Linked DNA regions of Sus scrofa. The protein of the gene in region 5 interacts with the protein of the main gene of each other region in a biochemical or structural test. Links are inferred from orthologs where the notes say so. Each region holds a gene or a part of one and is shown on either strand. Other genes may lie near its edges.

Region 1 (4,166 bases), on a different chromosome or scaffold from region 5:
CCTCATCTACGTGCGCTCCCATCCGGCGGCTCACGGGGGAGGGCCCAGCGCCCAGAGCGGCAGAGCACCGGCCCAGGGTCGCACAGCAGCTGGGGCACAGGGGCTGCTGACTGTGCCCGGTCCTCCGAGGCCTGAGCCTGGTGTGGTCTCCCCACCATGCCCGCTGCCTTCCAGATGCGGACGCAGCAAGAAAGAGCCGTGGGGGCCTGAGGTTGGCCCCTTGGGGGTGGGGGTGGGAGTGGAGCCAGGCCCGGGCCGGGTCTCCTGACTCTGAGTCCTCCGTGCTTCCCGCTGCCCCACATCTGTGGGCAATTAGAGCCCCAGCTCCTCTTCCCGCAGGCAGGCGAGGGAGGGGCTCGCGGTCGGAGGAGGGGACGGGACGGGGCCTGAACGGGGCCCTCCTCCCTCGCCACACACCAGGCCCCGGTGGACCCGGAAGCAGGACAGGCCTGAAGCTGCCCCTTCTGGGGAAGAAGGAACAGGCCTTGTGGGGGGATGAGGGCTCGGCCCGGCCGGGTTCCGTGGGAGCAGGGGGTTACGGCCTTGGTCCCCGGCAGACCTCGGCCTAAATGCCACCTCTGCCGGCTGTGCGACCCTGGGAAAGTCGCAGCGCTGCTCTGACTCACTGGCCTCGTGCTCAAGGCAGGGCTCACGACAACACAGACGCCAAAGGCCTGCGAGGGCCCAGGGTCTGTGCCCGGCACAGGGGAGGAGGTGACAACGGGAACCAGCAGGTCCCCAGGGGCCGCAGCCTCAGGGCCCTGCTGCTCAGGGCAGGGGACGACCGCTGGACGTGAGGTGTCACTAGAAGGGCGGTCGCAGAGGCAGGGGACTCCCTCCTGGACATAGAGAAGCATCCGAAGGATCCCCGCGAGGTTCCGGGCAGGCAGCGGAAGGAGGGTGGGGGCACGCGGTCTCCAGCGAGTCCCTCCCCTCATGGCCACCCTTTCCCAGCCCCACTGCCCTCCTAGGGACACGGGGACCAGAACCCGAGACGGGGAAGCCTGGCGCCTGCCATGTCAACAGACGCGACAGCAAGGCTGCACAGAAGGGCATGGCAAGCCTTGGAAGAATGTAAACCCAGAAAGGCTGCCTGGAGGAGGCAGAGGGGGGAGGTCCCTGGAGGAGAAGGGCCGTGGTGACGAAGGGCCTGTCCACAGGCAGGGTCGCGAAAATCCCTCCTGGGATCCTGGGATCCGACTGGCAGGAACACCAAGCCCGAGCCTGGAGGGTGGGGCAGGACGCGTCCTGACTCCCCAGCTCCGCCGCCCACCAGCCACGCCGCACCACTTTGTGGCTGCTCTGAGCCTCAGTCTCCTCCCACGTAAACTGGGTACAAAACCGGACCCTGCCTCTGGAGTTGCTGGTGCGCGTTACACGGGACCGCGCGTGTACACACCACGCGAACAGCAAGTGGCCGTGGTGGCAGCCGCTGTCAGGAGCCGGGGCTTTCTACAGGCACAGAAAAGGAACCAGAGATCAGATTCGGGCTTGGGGGGAGCGGAGAAGGAGGGAGACCACCAGGAGGCCTGAGCAGCTGCCTGGGACTGGAGGAAAGCGCCCCACAGCCGATCCCCCTTTTCCAGAGAGGAACCCCCAGATCCGACGGTCGGATTCCAGACGCCCAGTCTGGGCTGCGGGACGTGACCGCCAGGACGGGCCTGCCGTGGCCCCATCGCCTTCGCACTTTCCCAGCCGCTGGGGGTTTGGAAGGACACTTTAGGAATCTGGAAAATTTGCAAATCCATTTAAATCCTGAGACGTTGCCTGGCGGCTGACTGGCCTAAAGCCAGACAGACTCTCAGGGACAAGGCTTGGGCCTGGGGACAGAGGCTGCGAGTCTGAGGTCCCTGGTCCACGCACCCTGCCAGCCATCTCCCAATTCCTCTCTCACGTCCTTCCCGCTCTCCCTGCCCCTCCCGCAGGCGGTTCTATGCTTTGGAGGCGCCCCTGCCCCACTTAGCACCCAGCAACCTCTGGGGTTTGCTTGGGGCAGGAGGCGTCCACCCCAGAAGCAGCCGGAGCAGGAGGGAGCTCGCTCCTCCGGCCCTGAGGTCGTTCACAGCCTCCTGGCCACCTCCCATCTGGTTTTGTTAAAAATATTTTCCATTTTTTGACCTACCCAACAAGGCGCAGTCTGGGACAAGGGGACAGGACCAGGGGCTGGGCTTCTCTCCTCTTTCCGGCACTTACCTTGCTGCTGATGCCTCCTGTGGTGTGGGCAGGGTCCTGGGCTCTGGCTGCCGCCCCCTCCAGGAAGACCTCCACACCGCCTACTCTCTGCTGTTACCAGAAAGACGTTGCTGGACCCGAAATGGGGCAGCAGCGGGCAGGGAGGCCGTGAGGACGGCTGCAGGCTCCCGGAGCCCCGGGAGAACCGAGGGAGTCGGGGGCTGCAGGGGTGAGGAGTGGCCTCACTCCGAAAGCATCCTTCTGGAGCAGCCGGGCTGCCAGGAAGGGCCGCCCTGGTCTGGCTGCTGCCTGGTGGCGCTGGTCAGGGGGGCCCGGCTCCCTCCTCCTAGTCCCTCCTCCTCTCGGGCTCCAAGTGGCTCACAAAACGGTCCTGGGTCCCAGACGGGGTGGGCAGGGACTGCGGGCTGCTGGCTGCCCCGGGAGCTCACACCACTGTGGGCTTGGCTGCCCCCCCACCTTGGGGGAAAGGCTGCAGGGCGGCCTCTGATTGGCTCAGCTGGGAGAAGGGGGCCGGAGCGGGGAGGGTGGACGCGTGCGTCTGTTTTCAATTTTCAGCCCCCTCTCTTCTCCCCCAAGTTTCTTGTTTTTCTTCCTCTTTCCCTCTGCTGCTCCCTCCCGTAGCCTGCTCGCTCAGGATGTGAGGGGATGTTTAGAAATTCCGCAGCCCACGCCAGCCAGCGGCTGAGTCACTTTTATTAAAGAGTGGCTGGCCCCACTCGCCTGCTGCCTGTCTCGGTGGCAGCCTCCCTTCGCCGTGGCGCCTGGGGGCGGGTCCCTGCTCTGTGCTGGGCTCTCCCGTCTGCAAAGGGAGCCCCGATAACCTACCCGGTTGACTCAGTCCCCATCGGTTCACCTGGGTGCACTTCCTGTGCTTCAGCCCCGCGCAGGGGTGGGCGGCCATCCTCGTTAGGGCGGGGGGCTGAGAGTGGAGAGTGCACGAGAGAGGGCGCTCGCCGAGGCCGGAGGGAATTGGAATGGGCTTCGCAGGAAAGGGGGACATAGACGAGGCAGAAAGCCCTTCTGAGGCCACCGGTCCCTCCTCAGAGGAAGAAGTCGAGACCCAGGCGTGAACAGCAGAGAGGGAGAGCGACCCGCCTAAGGACACCCAGCAGGCTTCCGATTCCAGGCACCTTCCTCCATCATCCCCAAACCCTGGAGTACCAGAAAGGGTTGATCCCTCATGGTCTAGACCAGGAACTATAGCCCGCAAGTGAGTGTCCCAAAGTCACAGCTACGGCGGAGCCGAGCCGGGTCTCACGCGCGACGTGATGGAGCAGAAACAGGCCATCTGAGGCCGACAGCTGGCCCTCTGCAGTGTCACCAGGCGCCCCCACCCACCTTCTTCCTGGGTCCCTCTCGCGCATTTCCGCGTCCGGCTACCTGCCCTTTCCGTGCTCCCGGCCCCTCTGCTCCTCCACGCCGAGATCCGCCAGGGTGCCTCCAGGAACCCCGGGCCTCTCACCCTCACTCCTTGAACTCTCGCGTCTCAGGTCAGAACACGTCTCTAGGCACAGACTCCTGGCCTAAGGACATCATTTGCGAACAGCTTAGAGAGGAGTTCCTGTCGCGGCCTCAGTGGAAACGAATCCGACTAGTACCCATGAGGATGTGGGTTCGATCCCTGGCCTTGCTCAGTGGGTTAAGGATCCACCGTTGCCGTGAGCGGCGGTGTAGGTGCAGACACGGCTCGGATCCCGCGTTGCTGTGGCTGTGGTGTAGGCCGCAGCTACAGCTCTGATTCGATCCCTAGCCCGGGAACCTCCATATGCTGCAGGTGGGGCCCTAAGACAAAGTAAATAAATAAATAAATAGGCTTAGAGAGTCGAGTGAAGTCACCCCCCCACCCCACTACTGTGCACACGGGGAAACGGAGCCCCAGGGAGGGAAGAGAGGCGTCCGGGCACCCAGGTAGAGCCTGACTCTGCCCAGGGCTCCTTCCCTGCCGCCCTCTGTCTCCCCCCCGCTCCCGGGGC
Region 2 (4,209 bases), on a different chromosome or scaffold from region 5:
CAATAAGTAAATTGCAGTTCAGAGAAGTGAAGCCATTCAAGGAAATGGAGGAACCGGAATTGTGCCTGGGTCGGCCTGACTCTGAACCAGAGGTCCTTTGCTTTATACCAAACCATTGGCTCTCTTGCTTTTGGTCTTGCGCTGAGGTCTCTGCCCTCAGGGGATTCCAAGGAACAGAAACCAGAGACAGCAATCTTGACTTCATGTCCTAGGTTCTCTGTAAAATGAGCCTTTGTCCTCAGAAGTGCCTTGACCCTTCCAAGAAACCTTCTGGATTGCCTAAGGGAAGCCTTCTCCCGTCCCCTGAACCCTCTGCCTGTTCCTTTGCCCCATCGCTTGGCCCTTTTTCCCTTTGAGACGAACCTCTGGGTGTCCCCGATGTGGTTCCGCAGCTTAAGAACTTGACTAGTATCCACGAGGACCCAGGTTCGGTCTCTGGCCTTGCTCAGTGGGTTAAGGATCCGGCGTTGCCATGAGCTGCAATGTAAAAGTCACAGACACAGCTCGGATCTGGTGTGGCTGTGAGCTGTGGTGTAGGCTGGCAGCTGTAGCTCCGATAAAACCCCTAGCCTGCAAACCTCCACATGCAGTGGGTGAGGCCCTTAGAAAGAAAGAAAGAAAAAGAAAGAAAGAAAGGAAGAGAGAGAGAGAGAGAGAAAGAAAGAAAGAAAGAAAGAAAGAAAGAAAGAAAGAAAGAAAGAAAGAAAGAAAGAAAGGAAGAAAGGCAGAAAGGCAGGAAGGCAGGAAGGCAGGAAGGAAGGGAGAAAGGAAGAAAGGAAGGAAGAAAGAAAAGAAAGAACCTCTGTTCCTGAGCCCCAAGGGCAAAGGACCCTGAGTCATCTATCAGCACAGGCTGGGGATGGGGTAGCTCTTTGTGTGGGTCCGGGGTCTGGCTGAGTGTAGGGACAGCCAGCGTGCTTCCCAGCCCCCACAAGAGGCTGCAGGCCTTGGAGTTGGGGACAAAAGTAAGGCTGTGATAAGCCGACTCTCATTGGAAACTATGCGTCAAGAGAAGCTCCAAAGGTGGAGGGTAAGGCAGGTGAAACCTGGAAAATCTGGCTCAGGTGGGGATTTACCCAAGAAACTGCAGGCCGAGAGCTAGAAAGTGAGGGGGTGGGCAGGGAGCTGACTCTGCCTCCCTGGGCCTCCATCTTTCTGGGGTTCGAAGCAGGAATCAGAGGACCCATTGGTCCTCCGCAGGCAGTGAGTGGGGTGGGGGTGGGAGTGGGAGGGAGAGCAGGGAAGAGGGAGGGCATCCTGCGGATACTCTGCAGGGCCAGGAATGGCGACTTTCCAGATGGAAGTTCAGACGTTCCTTGCCCAGGGCCAACTGCACTCCTGTCCAGGATAAAAATAGCCCTTCCTCTCACCACCGCCCCCCCAACTTCCCAGAGTCAGGTCAGACACTTGCAGCCTGGAGGCCCCATCCCAGATGATAAATATCCCCTCACAAGTCCAACCGCTCCCAACGGAAGACTCCTCCCTCTCTCAACACAGGCTGGTCACTGAGGCTAAAATCACTTCTCATGTGTCCAGACGGATGCCCTGGGTGACACTCACTCTCTCTCTCTCTCAGGAGATTCTTGTCACCGGGGTCTGCCCCAGCCATCAGAAGGATTCTTGGGGCCCCTGACTCAAGCCTCATCATCACCCTGCCCATGGGTAGGGAGTCACACCCATGGGTGGGTCATCACCTCTCCGGGGACCAGGCTCTGCTGCTGCCTCGCTGATGGACTTTGGGGATGGAATACATTGCCCAATCTGGGCCTCGGGTTCTGATCCAACATGGAAGGAGGGATTGGATTTAGGGATTTCTTTTTTTTTTTTGCTTTTTAGGGCCACACCCACGGCATAGGGAGGTTTCCAGGCTAGGGCTCGAATCGGAGCTGTAGCCACGGGCCTACGCCACAGCCACAGCGACATGAGATCCAAGCCGTGTCTTTGAACTACACCACAGCTCATGGCAACACCAGATCCTTAACCCACTGAGCAAGGCCAGGGATCAAACCCACAACCTCATGGTTCCTAGTTGGATTCATTTCTGCTGGGCCACGTCGGCAACTCCTGGATTTAGGGATTCCCGAAGGCCTTTTTGATACCTGACATTCTATGTGATAGATCCCCAAGAAAAATGCTCCCAGTGAGGGGGCATTGATGGTAAGCAGTGTGACACAGGCAAGAGGCAACAACTACACAGGAAAGAGGGGGTCCAGCTGCTCCGCCTGCCTCCCACATGACCTCCAGCCAGGATTTTCTGTCCCCCAAACTGAAGGGCTGCTCCATATCAGGGGAGCCTGGCCTCAGGCCCAGCTGCAGCGCCCCCCACCCCGCCCCCCTGCCCCCCTCCCGCCCCTAGACCATTTTCCCCAGGACTCCTTACCTGCCCAGCCCAGGAGCCCTCTGGCCCCATTCACATGGTCTTCCTGGCCTAGCCTGGCTGCCCAGACGCAGCTTCAGCTCCCCTCGGCGTTGTAGCTACCGCCTGTCTCCTCGCGCCCACGTCCCACCCTGACTTCCTGCCTCCTCCTGAGGGCTCTGCAGCCAACCGGGCCCCAGCAACCCAACCACAAGCCTCCAGCACCCCAAGCTTCCTGCTCCCATAGCCCCCCGCCCCTCAGCCCTTGGGGGTCCTACACATCTCCAGTCCAGGTCCTACGCATCCCCGGGGTGTCACCTGGAGGTGAGGAAGCCTATTTAATGGAACATCTCTCCTGCCCCCGAAGGGTGCACCTGGACGAGAGATTCAAGGGAAGCCTTTAAACCCCAGTGAGCAGGAGGCGAGCAGACACCCACTCAGCTTTCAGTGAAAGGCAAATCGCACTGCTGTCACAGTCTGAGAGCCGAGTGACCCTTTCGTTACAGTTCAAGGGCAAAAGTAACATCGCTTCAGAGTCAGAGGGGAGGAACTATCCCTGCAAGATCACTGGAGAGCAGACATCCGTGTTAGAGGCAAAGAGACACCAGGTGAACACTGCCGCTAGTTTCAGCAGCAGAACAATAGCCATGCCATCTCAGGGCACAGGACAACAGCTCTATCCTATACAGAGGGCAGGGTAACGCCCCTCTTACAGAAGAACGCTGGACAACGGGTTGCTGAAGGAAGCAGGCAGGACAACCCCGTGTCTTAAAGGGGGCACAGTAACAGCCTCTGTTGTGGGAAGAGGGCAGGGCGACACCCCCTAACTAGGACTGGAGAGTAGGGGGACCCGTCTAACCCAGATAGAGGCACGGCCACAGCCTGTGTCAGAGGCACAGGGCCTGACACCACCTCCTGCCACAGGAGGCAGACCGAACAAACATGCCTTCCCAGGCACACAGGTGCAGGCAGCAGATGGACATCGTTTTGTCACAGGCAGGAGGCAGGGAGCGTGGCACAAGCAGCAAGCAGGCCAACAACCTTCCTTTCTCCTGGGGCCCGGCTCAGGGTGGCCGAGGGCCTGGTCACCAGTGTTAGAAGGAACGCTAAGTGGCTTCTATCAGGCTCAAGAGCTGGGCCTGCACCCTACCAAGGGGGAGGAAGGCATACATGTGTTACCTCGGCCTGAAGCTGCACTGAGGGAGGGGTTGGGGGAGGGGAGCCCACAAAACATTGTTGGGGTTTGTGAGGTGGAAGCTGATGCTTATGCACCTCAGCTGCGGAGAGAAGGGGGAGACAGGAAATGGGTGGGGGGAAGAGGAAGTCTGAGTTGGAAAGTCAGACAAAGGGGGTAATACAGAAACAAAAGCTGAGAAATACAAAGTTAAAAAAAAAAACAAAAAACACAACAAAAAAACACTTAGGGGGCCCCAGCTCCCCTTGCCATGAACCTGAGCACCTCAGGCCATCGCTGGGCCTCTGCACAACAGCAAACACAGCACTGAGGAGAGCAGCAAGGCACACGACAAAGTGCATGTTTCTTGAGCGCTTACTGTGCTTTATCTCACTTAAGACATGTCCAACTCCATGTGAAGTGAGAATTAGCACTTCCACTTTTTTTTTTTTTTTTTTTTTGTCTTTTTAGGGCGGCACCCTCAGCATATGGAGGTTCCCAAGCTAGGGGTCAAATCGGAGCTATAGCTGCCGGCCTACTCCACAGCTCACGGCAACACCAGATCCCAACCAAATCTGCAACCTATACCACAGCTCACGGCAACGCCAGATCCTTAACCCACTAAGCGAGGCCAGGGATTGAACCCACGTCCTCATGGATACTAGTCGGGTTCGTTAAC
Region 3 (3,500 bases), on a different chromosome or scaffold from region 5:
ACATTTTCCTGTCTTTCGCCAAAGTTTACGCTAGTCACTTTTTGGGTGGTAATCAGGACTGGTGTGAAGGAAACCTTTCAGGGCTGCTTTTTTAAGCTACAACTAAACTGAATACCCCAAACATATTCTTTAAGCTCAACGTTCCAGGAGGAGAAGCAGCTGAATCAAACATTTCCAGAATGAGAAGCAACTTAGCCATAACTTCCACTTCACTCCAAATAGTTTTAAGTTATGATAATATAGATGAGTAGAAAAAAAGTCCACATGACTTTGGCCATATGTTTGAATCACTGGTTCCATCTGGGTAGAGCTGCACCAGTCCTATAGAAGCAGAGACATCTGCCCTCCAGGATGTCTACTGGTCTAGTGGGAACACAAATACAAACCACAGATTGCAGCTGCCCTGGAGGGCAGCACCTAGCCGGGCAGTCTTGGGGGCAGCGCATAAATCTAAAGTACCTAGGAGACTTCTGACCCACATCCAGATGGATGGATGGGGATTTTCCAATCTAGCCATCAGTGATAGGGTGATCCAGGTAATGAATGCAAAGACTTGCTTCAGAGCTCTGGTGAAGGTGGCAGTTGGGGACACAGCAGAGATCATGAAGGAAATGGTATGACCTGCTACCGAGATCATCTTCCAACACAAACACCAGGGATGCTGTCTGACTTGAACTCCTTAGACTTTCTGACGTTATTAATGATTCAGAGTAAAGCAGGGATACACAAACCAAAACCAAACCACAAATGAAACAACCCTAAGGTAAGGCTATCAGGATTAGACTCCCTGCCCTCATATATATACATATAAATATAAATATATATATGTATATATATATATATAGCCTGCCATATGAAGTTAAATATACATACACACACATAAATACACATTTGCTTTAACCCATGTTGGTGAGGAATTAGTTTTTCAAAGGTCCGCAGTAGAAATCATTAAGCTATTTGCCAAATTTTACACACACACCACACATAAATATTCCCATAATCCTCACATTTCAAGAGGTAGAGTATTATGCAGATTTTAAAAATGAGAGTGAAATTCCTGCTACCCATATTCCAATGTTGATTTATCTCCCTATTTTAAACCTTTCAGGACTTTCTGTCTGTGTCAGATATTATTGACTACTTTAGGAAAATGCCGCTTCTACTCATTGATGGAAAAAACCGAGGTTCCAGATACCAGTGCACGTTAACCTATGCTGCAACTTATCCCTAGCAAGCCAGCCAAGCAAAGGAACCTTACTCCTGCCTCTGATGCCAGCATGGGAAGATCAGTCAACTGTGGTAAACCATCAGACACTTGGGACTGAATTGAACCCCTTAACATGAAGAGTTTTGTCCTTTTGCTTAAAAAGTGTTTGAAATGAAGACTGTCAGATATCCCATAATTTATTTATTCTTCTTCAATGTTTATAAAATGCATGAGTAATAATGTTCACACTTGAAGTGGAGTAGGGCACTGTAATAATTCATTTTTAAAAGATACGTATTTGTGAATACCCATTTCCAAGTACATTAGTTTGCCCAGCTACACAAACAATATGGGGCAAGCTGAGCAACACTGAAATGGTAATAATTTTGGTAACACATTAAAAACTGAATTTTTTAAAATAGGCACTCCTTTGTCAAAGGCAATCATCAGTTTTATATGCACAATTTGAAACTTACTAAAATTCAGTTTCTAGGCAGCAATAATTTAAGAAGCTTCCAAAACATTTCATCCTTTCTTATTTGTTTTTTTTTTTTTTTTTTTTGCTGGGGGGATTTTTGTGTACTTTTTTATGAAAAAGATAAATGCATGTCAGGATAACTCCCTGGAATTAAAATTAATTTGCCTTTTGCTTCACTTTTGAGTTCCTAAGACAACTTTATTGACTTTACTTAGTTCTTACTTTTTTATTTGTTTTAAATCAAATTTAAGATACAAATGCCCAAAGAAAACATTTTAAATTTAGAAATGAGGCTTTGGTGTCAAATTTAAGTTCATCACATCCAACACCCACATCCTACCTCCACTCCACCCCCCCCAACCAAATCCAAAAGCATCATCAAGTGAAATAGATTTTACTGAAGTCTTCCCAGGAAAATGAAAGAACAATGCATGTATACATGGAAAAATCTGATCAGACTTTCCAATTAGATAGGTTTTTTTTTTCCTGACAACTGTAATAAAGCCCTTCTCTTCATCCATTCCCAAGAGGCTTTATAAATTCTTCAAAGCAATTCAGTTCTTTCCTTCAACATTCATATCTCACTTAAAAAAAAGTAGGCATGTCACACAATGAAAACCTCACATTCAGTTAAGTTTTCCCTTTTGAGGCCTGGGTTGTTATTCCACAACTTTTATTAACAATAAAAATGTATGGCTTCTCTGTTTAGTATATAAAATTTCTAAGTCACAAAGATTCTTGTCTTCAATTTCATGAGATAAGAGAAAGAACACTGGGGAGTTCCTGCCGTGGCTCAGTGGTTAATGAATCTGACTAGGAACCCTGAGGTTTTGGGTTCGATCCCTGGCCTCACTCAGTAGGTTAAGGATCTGGTGTTGCCGTAAGCTGTGGTGTAGGTCGCAGATGTGGCTCGGATCTGGCATTGCTGTGGCTCTGGCGTAGGCCGGCAGCTACAGCTCCGATTAGGCCCCTAGCCTGGGAACCTCCATATGCCACAGGTGCGGCCCTAGAAAAGACCTCCCCCCCAAAAAAAAAAGAACATCAGAAGGGATCTTGGAAGTCATCTAGTTAAAACTGACAACTTGCTAAAATAAGTATGTAGAGACTTTTAACCACTGACAATTAAAATGATGCTTCACAAACGTCATCCTTACAAACCAGAAGTTCTCAATTCAGGGTTCAGAACTCAGGAATTCTAAAGCTGAAAAACTTTCATTCATTTACATGTTTATTCAAGAGGATATTCGACAAGCATTGACTCCATGCCTATTCTGTGCTAAACACTGAGCTAGGTGCTGGGCAATGAGGCTAGAACTGCGATGGAGGGAGCTGACCTTGTGTCTTGCTTTGTGGTATTACATACCTTATGTTTAAAAATATTTAAAATGAAGGACATGGCAGATTTCAAGCAACTATTTGGTAGTGGATTATGTTTAAAAAATAAATAAAGATTATTATTTTAAATTTCTGTTGGCAGAAAGAGACAGAAATTAGCAACTTTTAGGACACAGGTGTCCTAAAAATAAAACCTATTCCACTCCAATGATTGAAATAAATGATGAATATCTGATGTTTGAATGACTAGCATTCTTTCTCCCCTTCTTTGGGCCATGGCAACTCTGTTCTTTTGATGCGGCATCTCTTTTGGCTACAGACCTGGCATATGATCCCAGTCTCACCAAACATAGTTGCTCAAGACCCATCTTAATCAAAGCTGGGCCAATCAGGATCTTTCTCTGGAATGTTAAACACAGAGGCTGAGACAAAGGATCTCTCTTTTCTCTGGGGTCCCCCAAAGGTAATGCTGAACATCTG
Region 4 (3,500 bases), on a different chromosome or scaffold from region 5:
TACATGTTATATATATTTACTTCTGAGTATAGGTTGAATGTAACCCCTTTTCAACAGGACTGGAGGTGCTGCCATTACTAATGACTATGTGCACGCACGCGTGCACACACACACACACACACACACACACACACAAAGTGTCTTACCAAGCAGAGCAGGCATGATGATCACTTGCCAACACTGACATCCTTCCAGATCCATGGCCCAGATCTCTTGCCCTTTGACAAAATATATTCGTGGTTTCTTTAGGTCAGAGGTATCAATAGTCATTGCTCCACCTAATTCAAATTCAGTCACATTGCAAGAACATTGGCTCCTTCCACGCGCACGGGTTATGGCTGTGGGTTGTAGAACTCGATGCAAAGTCTGGTTGATAATACTGTAGTAGAACATCTGAGATCCAAAATCAGAAACCTCTGTCCAATATAGACGACTATAGGAAAAAAAAAGACCTTCCAATTTAACGAGTAAAACATATTACAAATATCAATTTCTCATGATGATCAGTTATTTCTAATGCTTATGGGGACAAATGCAACCTTTGGAGAGAACATGTCCCAGTGTTTGAGAACCTGATGGAAGAGGTCATGAGAAGTCTAGTTTGTAGCATTTTGCAACAATTTCTCAGTAAATGTGTTTACAACAAAAGCTTTGGACGGTAATGACCTTAGGCATTTTATTAAATGGCTCATTAATGGCTCTAAATATGAAACGTACTGGCATACTCTACATCGACACCATCTCCATTCCCTTTTGCTCGAGTTTGTTTCTGCTTCTTACTACTAGTTACCAATCTATTTTCAAAATAGAGTATAACCGTGCTTATGGCTCAAATAAAATGTCTCTCCAGCTTGAGAAGCTGCTATTCAGTTGCTTAATGGAGGCCTTAAAATTCATCTCATGAGGATGTTAATTAATGATGGATGAGCCCAGAATAGCATTTGCTGTGCAAGACATGTCTATGTCCTACTCATTTCCTACCACTGTCTCGGTCCCCTTCCTGTCCTTATAAACTGGGAATATTAAATTCGCTGGTACAAAAATATGCTTTGGTTTCCTGCTGGTCATTAATGTGTAGGTATGGATTAATTTTATATATTGGTGGTTGTGGACTCATCATTTGTATGTAGAATTACTATAAATTAATATCAAGAACATTAAGCATCTTCTTGTCCCATCATTGACTTTTAATATTAAACTAAAAATATTACATTAAATGTCTGTATCTATTTCATCACAATAGAAACAGATACACTTCACATACCTTAAAAAAGGATATACAAAAAAAGAGATTATTGTTGAATTTCTGTCACATATTTTCAGCTTCCTGGGATATTTCACCTTGTTTTCAAGATCAATATCAAATATTTGCATTCTGTTTTGTGATTCTTTCAGCACAAAGTAGAGGTGCCTTGAAATCCAGTCAATTGTTATAACTGTGATATCAAAAACCAGTGTGTCTCTGAAAATCTTAACAGGTAGAAAACATAGCCAAAAAGACAGTGGTCATTTTCTTCAAACATGAGGACTGTTTTTGACTATCACCTGTATTACTTATTTACTACACTTCTCTTTTGTATTCCAAAACCTGAATAGCTCTGGATGGTGTGCCTTTGTAACACTAGTCCTCTTCTCACATTATATATTTTTCCTATTTAATTTCAACTACTATGACTTCAACTGTAATCCTTAGACCAGTGCTACAAATCCACATCTTCAAGATCTCTCAGTGAATTGCTGACTCAAATATCAAACTGCCCACTGAACATGTCCAAATAAATGACCCCAGAAAACAGGATGCATCACCGCACACACCAAACCTCCTTCCTCCTTCATTTTATATTTTTATGGCTTTCCAATACTCACCAAGGAGCAATTTCATCCTTGACTTCTTCCTCCTGTTACTTACCCATAGTGAATTAGTCCCAATTTTAATATCTCCACAATTTTAAAGAGAGAGAGAGATGTCCTTTCCTCTCTCACCTTACTGCCTCTCATTTCACGCCTAACATTTCCTGTCTAGATTTCTGTGATGGCCTCCTGATTGTCTCAGACTTAACTTTTTCTAAGTCATTATTCACACTGCTAACACAGAGGTCTTCCTAAAACACAACCTGATCGTGTTAATGACCCACTGAATTTCTTGAATGGCTTCTAGTTGGCTTCAAAACTGACACTAAACTCCTTAATACAGTAAACAAAGGCCATTATATTCAGGTTCCTGCTCCACCTCTCCAGCTCTACCATCTGCCTTTCACTCTGCCCTTATTCCCACTTCCATTCCAAGCTCCTTGTATTTATAGGTCCCTGAAAAGGCTGTGGCTTTCTTGTTTCCCTTTCTTTGCACTTGCTGCTCCCTTGGCATTTCCCCACCTTCACCTGGTTCATCATCTTTGTACCTAAGATGTCTTTCTACTTTACCACCAACCGCCCCCCCCCACCCCAACTCTGGAATAAGCATCCATTCTCTGCAATTCCACTGCATCCTGCCCCCAGCAAAGCACTTACACTGTCTTCTGCCTGTCTTCTCCACAAGCTAGCATTCAGTGAATGCCTACCACATTCCAAGAGTTGTGCTAAGTGACTTACATGGATTATCTCATTAATTTTCACCCTATGATGAGCAACTACACAACCATAGTGGTTAAATAAGTTGTTAATGGTCACAGATCTAGCATGTGGTAGCGTCAGAATTAAATTCTAAGTCGTCAGATTTCAAAGCTCACTTTCTTAATCACTATGCAATACCGTCTTCCTCGTGTGAGATTAATACTAGACGGGGTTTGTTCAAGGACTGTGACTTCTTTTTTTATCTCTTTCTCAGGTAACAGAGTTCCTTAAACCCAATAACTGTTGCTAAATTAAGCCTGAATCACATTTGCCAGAAACCTAACCTGAGTTCGTTTGCAACTAATTAATTATACAACATCTGTCCTTTTCAACCATTCTAATCTCAATGGCTCAACAACTGGCCAGTCGTTTTAGTTACAGGGTGATGTGGAAACACTCCACTTCCTTTCAGAAGAATGGTGCAGCAAGATACCTCAGAGCTGGACCCATTGCGCATGTTCAGAAGGAGGAGGGCGTCTGATTGAGCACAGTACCCCGTTGCATCATCAGCAGTGTAGCCCACGGCCCTGAAGTCTCCTTCAGCTGAAAATGTCCATGCAACTCGATTTTGATCCATATCTAACAAGACTATCTTGTTATCAAAGAGAGTTATGAGGAATGGAAATGGGTTGATTTCTAAAAGCAAAAAGCAAGTAGTTAACAAATACGAGAAAAATAACTAGCAAAATCCCTTAATTCAAAATCGGGCCATTTTGAAATCCATCAGCCTCCTTTGTGTTCATCTTTTACACCCATCTTGATCAAGGCTGCCTAGATGCTCTAAGCCTAAGTTTAAGCATGTTTGACGATGATACAAATTGTTTATTTCATATGACTTTAATTTCATCTCAGAGATAGCACTCGGGTAACCCTGAGACTATATTTGTAAA
Region 5 (3,500 bases):
TGATTTTACCGATGAGGAACCACACGGTCAGAGAAGTGCCGTCATGTGTCCAATATCACACAGCCAGCGGGTGGAAGGGCTGGAGGCGTCCGTCCAGGACCCTGCGCACTGCCTTCCACGCACCCAGGCCGGGCCAGCGGAGTAGGCCCGTCTGCGGGACTCTGCCCCTCAGGCCTGACGGGACCCCCTGCTCCTCCTCGCTGACCCCGCAGCACCCCCCACCTTAGCAGGAATGGGGTCTCCTGCTCATGAACACGAGGGCCAGTGGAGCTAGTGATGCATGGGCCTGGGGCCGAGTCGGGGTCTCTGGTGAGTGGGGGAAAGACAGGGAGCAGCAATGGAGGAGCCCAGGGCTACAGGTGGAAGAGAGAGGGATGGGGGCCGCGCTGACCCCAGGAAGAAACACCGTTTTGGGGCCCATTTCCTCATCAGGATGTGGCAGCTTGGACCACATGGTACATCCTGGGCAGTCTCTGAGGAAGCTCACACACACCCACACCCACACCCACACCCACCTACACACATGCACACAGAGGATCAAGCCATGAGCTTGGTTCCTGCTAAGTTCCACCCGTGAATCTGGAGCCATCAGGACCCAGAGCAGGTGGGGGCGAGGGTGGGGGGAGGCATTAAAGGAGTTACTGTGTCAATTGCTTATGACAGTGCCTGGCGCTTAGCAGTTTTACTTGCCAGCTACTACTTTGACTATTATTACTATTATTATTATTATTATTATTATTCTCACCTGCAGTGCACGATGATGGGCCCTGCGTGAGGCAGACTTTCCTGCCGCTGGTTGATCTGGTCCAGGAAGCTGAGGACACCCCCAGGCTCGCTGGGGACCCCATGGTCAGGCCAGCTCAGGTACTGGTAGTGCCAGATCTCCCGAACCAGGTCCCCCTGGGCCGAGGACATAGGGTCAATGCCCCCTGCTCCCACTCATGGCCTCATTCTACCCAACCAAAGAGAACAGGTGTGAGGGGGGGGTCCTGGTGTGGGGCAGGGGACACTCACATTTGCCAGCGGGGAGACCTGTAAGGTGCGGAGTTTGTACTCAGCTGTGTCGTGCTCCCCACCGTTGGTGACAGCGTAGGGTCCGTAAACACGCTGACTGCCCACTTCTGGCCAGTACGGGACACATTTGTTCTGAAAAGGAAGGGTGGAGATGGCGACTGAGGGACAGAAGCAGGGCCTGAGCCCCTAGTGCTGGCCCATCAGCATCTGATGTGTGACCTGGCCGAGAGTCAGAGACAAAGGATCTGGCCTCGGCTCAGCCTCCCGCAGGTGGTGAGACCTGAGCAGCCACGTATAGGTCACTCAGTGAACGTCAGCTGGCACACTCACAGTCCCCGATGCTTCCCAGCCCAGGCTGGTGTTACAGACACACATAAGATGTGGCCCGTGCCTCTAGAAGCTCACAGGGAGACAGAGGAACAGGGGAACCAGAGTCGCTGAGGAGCCTGGTGGAAGGAGAGACTCATTCTCTGTCTAGGCAAGGGAGGAAATCAGGGAGGACTTCCCAGAGGAGGGAGCATCTGAGCTGGGTTTTCAAAGAACGAGGAGTCTGTCAGGCAGAGATAATGCTGAGAGAGGAAGCCACTTCCTAGAGGCCGGGAGCTCATGCAGAGGCACAGAAACCTGAAGGAGCCTGGCAGGTCAGAGGCAACGAGGGCCAGAGGGCGGCCACCAAGCCCGAGTGCCAGGTCTGGGACTGTGACCACTCAAAAGGCAGCTGGCAGCCACTGAGGGGTTCTCAGAAGGAGCAGCCTGATGCAGTGTGTGCTGGGGGTGGGGGTGGGACAATTCCAGAAAGAATTATGAGGCTGAGAGGAGAGGAGAGGCTTCTGGCCCGGAGGGGACAGGCCGGGGTGGGGCAGGGGACAGTCAAAGGCAGGCGGCCACTGGAAATCTGAGTCTGGAGGTCAGGGGAGCCCAAGCTGGGAGGCAGGGATCTGGGAGTCAGGGTGTACCCAGACCTTGTACCCCAGTTTTCCCACAAGGTAGGACCCTCGCCCTCTGAGGGGCCCCAAGTTTCTTTGGCTTAATAGTGGTGGCGATAAGTACTGGGAGCACGGGGCTCAGCCTACCCGGCCCTTCTCCACCTCCCGAGTGGTCATGACGATGACACGGGTGTTCTCCTGCCACACCATCTGCCAGAAGTCGTTGACCGTGGCCTCCAGGCAGCCCTGGCTGGCGATGTAGGTCTTAGCGTTCTCATCGGGCCCTAGCAGCTTGTTCTGGATGTGAGTGCAGAGACGTGCAGGACCGTGAGCCCCTCGTACCCCCACCACCCTCAGCCACCCACGGGGACAGCTTTTGCGTCACCCACATGTCTCTGAACCCAGCAACCTCATGAGCAAGGGAGGTGGGGATCCTTGGGGCCCAGCCCCCCCACTTCCCTGTGACCAGCAGGCACACCAACCTTGACATAGTTGGCGTTAATGTAGTCAGACCCAGGGATGTTACTGTCCCGTCCCTGCAGGATCACTCGGCTGTGGTCGACTGGGAGTGGGGCAGAGAAAGCAAGAAGGGCCTGGATCAGACCCTTCCTGAACTCCCAGGCCATGCTTGCCCAGAAGCCATGAGCTCTCAGAGCACTGTGGGCAGGCAGGGGTAGGGGATCTGGATGGGGTGGGAATTAAGGTTTCAGGGGAAGAGGAGGGTGGGGCGCAGGTGGCTCCTTTGCGGGGAGCAGAGGCTTTTTGAAGTGGGGGGGAGGTTCTATTGTGTGGGTGGGGTGGGGGGCCTCCTTGAGCGGGAGTATGGGGAGACCCTATGTGCTGCGGGGAGGTCGGCCGCTGTGGGGAGCGTTCTCCTCGTGAGCGGGTGCTGCCTGTGGCGGGGAGGGCTGAAGGCTGCTCAGGAGCAGGGCGCTCACATGGAAGGATGTTCTTGTAACGATTCTTGCTCTTGTTTTCTGGCCGCTGCCCTTCCAGCCGCTGGTGCAAGTTCTTCACCTCCTGCTTCTGCAGACTCTGGGAGGGGGGGTAAAAGGGGGACATGGAGCCCCAGCCCCTAGAGGGGGCACCCATGGAGGGCAAAGGACGTGGGGCCGATCAGTACACGGGGTGGGAGAGAGGAGACGGGGTCTGCCGAGGACCCCACGCCCTTTCCCCCCTGGTCCCATCAGGCACCTCAAACTCCTCCCAGAAGCCGGCCTTGGCTGTCTCCTCTGACTCCTGCTTCTTGTTCAGTTCCAAGACCCGGTTCTCGATGTCAGCCGCGTTCACCCTCGTGGCATAGTATGGCTGGGGTAGGGGAAGGCGAGAAGTCAGCCGCTTCTAGAGCCGGAAGCTGGGGGCAAAGGAGGAGGCAGCCAGGCCCACCTCTCACCTGCCGCAGGTAGACGAAGGCGCCCGAGGCCTCCTCAATCCCCGTCTTCTTGAAGTGCTCCACCAGGTCCGTGAGGCTGTCGAAGGTCTCGGGACCCCCCACTGTGTAGCGGCCACCCTGTAGGGGCACCAAGTCAGACCAGCTCTCAGGACCCGAGTCTCCCTCTT
Region 6 (3,500 bases), on a different chromosome or scaffold from region 5:
AACCTTTAGTTATTAAGGTACCCCAGAGTATCCTAAAAGATGCCCTTTCTTTTTTATGACCTTTACGCAGGAAAACAGACTTTTTAAAAAAATGATAATTTTTTATTGTGAATTTAAGTGATTTACAGTTTAAAAAGAATATTAAATATTGTATCACTCTATATTCACTTTGACATTTTTTAATGTCCTTATCTGTATTTTACATGATTGTAATTTGTGTATATACTCTCATACGCTCTGCTGTTTTTTTGGCAAGCACAAAGGCCTAGCCCTACTTCCCTCACATCCGCTGAAGATCCACACCCTGATATCTGGCCCATATTTTATTAAAACGGTTTTTCAAACCACGTGAATCATGAAATCAGTTTAGTCAATTATAACCAGTTATTTCGTTTTGTTTTGTTTGCTTTTTAAAGCACCCACAGCCTATGGACGTTCCCAGGCTAGGGGTCAAATCAGAGCTGTGGCTGCCGGCCTACAGCACAGGTCACAGCAACGCCGGATCCTTAACCCACTGAGCAAGACCAGGGATCGAACCTGTGTCCTCACAGATACTAGTCAGATTCTTAACCTGGTGAGCCACAACAGGAACTCCCATAACCAGTATTTTTTAAAAAGAGATAGAATAGACTAGAAATCACTTTGGGAGGCATGTGATCATTTAAATATGCATTTCCATGAAGCTGCACTCTGGAAAGCTATAGAATATCTAGGCTGAAATGCCAGAGAGTCCATGGAACGGTGTGAGAATTACCTAGAAAATCCTTGATGTGTGGCAGGGAAAGAGTCTGTTTCGACTGCTGTGATTATTTCTGAGGTCATTTGAAGAAGGTCTAGGGAAGATGGTTTGGTCTTTGGGAAGCTCAAGAAAGAGAGCATTGAAGTTAAAAAGAAGGCCGAGGATGCAAGAGTGAGCAAGAAGAGGGGGGAGCCTTGGAGCCGCCCATGAAGGTTTTTGAGAGGGAAGGTTGAGTCTTTTTAATTAATAAGGAAAAACTGGTTGACATCCAAAAGAAGAGAAAGCGGGAGGACGTGCTTTTTCCCTCCCGCAGGTCTGAACCTGAGTCCAACCAGCTTGTCCTCTTCCCGTAGAATCCTTCTCTAATCCCAAGTTCCACATCAGCCCCAAGGGAGTGATCATAGAAGGGGATCAGCTCCTCATCAAGTGCACCATTCAAGTGACACACCAGGCCCAGTCATTCCCGGAAATCATAATCCAGAAGGACAAGGAGATCGTGGCGCACAGCAGGAACGGCAGCGAGGCCGTGTACTCAGTGATGGCCACGGTGGAGCACAACAGCAACTACACGTGCAAAGTGGAAGCCAGCCGCATTTCCAAAGTCAGCAGCATCATGGTCAACATAACAGGTGAGGCTGCCGCTGGAGGGTGTCGGCCTACGGCGGGCTGCAGAAGCCGCTGTGCTGCAATCCCGGGTGGGCAGTGAGAGCTGAGAGATACTTCTGCTCCTGTTGGCCTGAAGGGATGTGCCTGGGCCGGGCTGGGGCGCTCGTGGGGAAAAGTCAGTGCAGAGCAAGTAAGCAGTTAGCTGTGGTGGTAGCAGGTGCAGGCTGTGGCCTCAGTGGCCAGCCTGGCCACTCAGTGACCTTGGGTGAGTTACTGACCCTCTCCTTGTCACAACTCTGAGATGGGGGTAATGACACCACTGTAGGACTGTCACAGGGGCTGAATGGCATCACTGTGCCACAAAGAGCCTCATACAGAGTAAGCCCTCAGTGATGGTTATCTGATGTTTCTGTTATTATGTCACAGTTCTCTTTCCTCTGTGCCAAGTACTGTCCGGATCCCTCCATCCCATTTCGGGCCCCATGGCAGGGTCAGGAGTGAGAAAGCATTACTAGGAGTTCCCATCGTGGCTCAGTGGTTAGTGAACCCGCCTAGGATCCATGAGGATGCAGGTTCCACCCCTGGCCTCACTCAGTGGGTTAAGGATCCAGCGTTGCCGTGAGCTGTGGTGTAGGTCACAGACGCGGTGTGGATCCCAAGTCGCTGTGGCTCTGGTGGAGGCCAGCGGCTACAGTTCCAATTGGACCCCTAGCCTGGGAACATCCATATGCCACAGATGCGGCCCTAAAAAGACAAGACAAAAAAAAAAAAAAAAAGAAAGAAAGAAAGAAAGCATTACTAAACTCAAAAATCATAGTAATAGATCCTCTTTGTGGAACACTATATGCCTGGTTTACATACATTTTCATTTCAAACTCAACTCTGTAAGAACGTAGGTATTATGAATCTGGTTTTAGGGATGTGGAAACTGAAGCTGAGAAGAACCCAACAATTGCAGGGTTACCAAGTGGCAGAGCAAGAGTCACCCCCAGAGCCTGTTAGATTTCCAAGCCCTCGTACTTGCAAGTTCCCTTGAACGCCTTCCTCCTTTACCTGGCTTTACTTTTCAACACAGCACTTATCACAAAAAAACGTACTCTACCTCCTCCTGTGTATTGTCTGTATGCGGCCCTCAAAAGTAAGCCGATAACAGAACAAAGGGTGGGGGAAAAAATGTGATTGTAATGTATACATGTAAGGATAACCTGACCCTCTTGCTGTACAGTGGGGAAATAAAAAAAAAAAAATCCAGAAATAGAACCACACACAAAAAAAAGTAAGCCGATAAGGGCAGGGGCATTATCTCTTTTATCCAGGGCTATATCCTTAACACCTGGAGCACAGGTGTCTGCACTTAGTAGGAATTCAGTACATATTTCCTGGGTGGATGGATGAGCATTGGACGACGGTGTTTCAGAGGACAGAGAGAATCAGCACTTTTGGTTCCCCAATGAAAGTGTTCATTCATTCATCATGGATTCACTCGTTTACTGAAAGCCTCCCCCGTGTTAAGCATTGAGTATATGGTCACAGGGACAATCCCCAGTGTCATAGGTAGGCTGCCAATGACCCAGCTGGGTGACTGGCATGTGATGGATCCAGCTGGTCTACACCAGGTCGGATCCTGCTAGCAATTTAGTTTTTTTGTTGTTGTTGTTTGTTTTTTAATTTTTTTTCCTTTTTAGAGCCGCACACGTGGCACATGGAGGTTCCCAGGCTAGGGGTCAAATCGGAGCTACAGCTGCTGGCCTAGACCATAGCCACAGCAACGTGGGATCCCAGCTGTGTCTGCGACCTACACCACAGTGCACAGCAACACCGGATCCTCAACCCACTGAGCAAGGCCAGGGATCAAACCCTCAACCTTGTGGTTCCTAGTCAGATTCATTTCCGCTGCACCACGAAAGGAACCCCTGAACGTTCAGGTGCTTGAACCTCCTGCCAGGCCTTCCGTAGGCTGCCCCCGCCCTGTGCCACTTTCCCTCATTGCCTGAATAACGACCTCCAAGGCTTCTTTCCTGATTCTTCGAGCCTGGGTTCAAGGTTACCTCTATGGGCTCTACTGCAAACACTACCTGAATCCCCTCTAGACTTAAACCCTTCTAGAGGGTAATTAAAGACTGTTTCTTTTCCACTGCTGTCTCCCTCCTCTGCT

The links.
Region 1: the proteins of PTPN6 (region 5) and PDGFRB form a complex in vitro, tested with the Homo sapiens proteins (2 studies listed by BioGRID and IntAct, with this or other methods). The link is inferred for Sus scrofa from reciprocal best matches to the Homo sapiens genes PTPN6 and PDGFRB.
Region 2: of the proteins of PTPN6 (region 5) and LCK, one has a biochemical effect on the other in vitro, tested with the Homo sapiens proteins (4 studies listed by BioGRID and IntAct, with this or other methods). The link is inferred for Sus scrofa from reciprocal best matches to the Homo sapiens genes PTPN6 and LCK.
Region 3: the proteins of PTPN6 (region 5) and LCP2 form a complex in vitro, tested with the Homo sapiens proteins (2 studies listed by BioGRID). The link is inferred for Sus scrofa from reciprocal best matches to the Homo sapiens genes PTPN6 and LCP2.
Region 4: of the proteins of PTPN6 (region 5) and ROS1, one has a biochemical effect on the other in vitro, tested with the Homo sapiens proteins (2 studies listed by BioGRID and IntAct). The link is inferred for Sus scrofa from reciprocal best matches to the Homo sapiens genes PTPN6 and ROS1.
Region 6: the proteins of PTPN6 (region 5) and PECAM1 form a complex in vitro, tested with the Homo sapiens proteins (2 studies listed by BioGRID, with this or other methods). The link is inferred for Sus scrofa from reciprocal best matches to the Homo sapiens genes PTPN6 and PECAM1.

The regions. Positions count from the first base shown.
Region 1 is NC_010444.4:151,190,019-151,194,184, forward strand, and holds the start of PDGFRB (platelet-derived growth factor receptor beta), read right to left. Parts: upstream 2,801-4,166; 5' UTR 2,194-2,800; intron 1-2,193. UniProt on the Homo sapiens protein: Tyrosine-protein kinase that acts as a cell-surface receptor for homodimeric PDGFB and PDGFD and for heterodimers formed by PDGFA and PDGFB, and plays an essential role in the regulation of embryonic development, cell proliferation, survival, differentiation, chemotaxis and migration.
Region 2 is NC_010448.4:88,718,477-88,722,685, reverse strand, and holds the start of LCK (tyrosine-protein kinase Lck), read right to left. Parts: upstream 2,801-4,209; 5' UTR 2,381-2,800; intron 478-2,380; exon of another isoform or gene 364-477; intron 1-363. UniProt on the Homo sapiens protein: Non-receptor tyrosine-protein kinase that plays an essential role in the selection and maturation of developing T-cells in the thymus and in the function of mature T-cells. Plays a key role in T-cell antigen receptor (TCR)-linked signal transduction pathways.
Region 3 is NC_010458.4:53,738,474-53,741,973, forward strand, and holds the end of LCP2 (lymphocyte cytosolic protein 2), read left to right. Parts: intron 1-1,108; coding exon 1,109-1,231; 3' UTR 1,232-3,263; downstream 3,264-3,500. UniProt on the Homo sapiens protein: Adapter protein primarily involved in signaling pathways within T-cells, as well as other immune cells such as platelets, mast cells, and natural killer (NK) cells.
Region 4 is NC_010443.5:44,472,378-44,475,877, reverse strand, and holds part of ROS1 (proto-oncogene tyrosine-protein kinase ROS), read right to left. Parts: intron 3,247-3,500; coding exon 3,044-3,246; intron 1,471-3,043; coding exon 1,265-1,470; intron 434-1,264; coding exon 147-433; intron 1-146. UniProt on the Homo sapiens protein: Receptor tyrosine kinase (RTK) that plays a role in epithelial cell differentiation and regionalization of the proximal epididymal epithelium. NELL2 is an endogenous ligand for ROS1.
Region 5 is NC_010447.5:63,765,587-63,769,086, forward strand, and holds part of PTPN6 (tyrosine-protein phosphatase non-receptor type 6), read right to left. Parts: intron 3,451-3,500; coding exon 3,334-3,450; intron 3,249-3,333; coding exon 3,135-3,248; intron 2,976-3,134; coding exon 2,879-2,975; intron 2,503-2,878; coding exon 2,423-2,502; intron 2,238-2,422; coding exon 2,088-2,237; intron 1,147-2,087; coding exon 1,015-1,146; intron 901-1,014; coding exon 746-900; intron 1-745. UniProt on the Homo sapiens protein: Tyrosine phosphatase enzyme that plays important roles in controlling immune signaling pathways and fundamental physiological processes such as hematopoiesis.
Region 6 is NC_010454.4:14,684,643-14,688,142, forward strand, and holds part of PECAM1 (platelet endothelial cell adhesion molecule), read left to right. Parts: intron 1-1,092; coding exon 1,093-1,368; intron 1,369-3,500. UniProt on the Homo sapiens protein: Cell adhesion molecule which is required for leukocyte transendothelial migration (TEM) under most inflammatory conditions.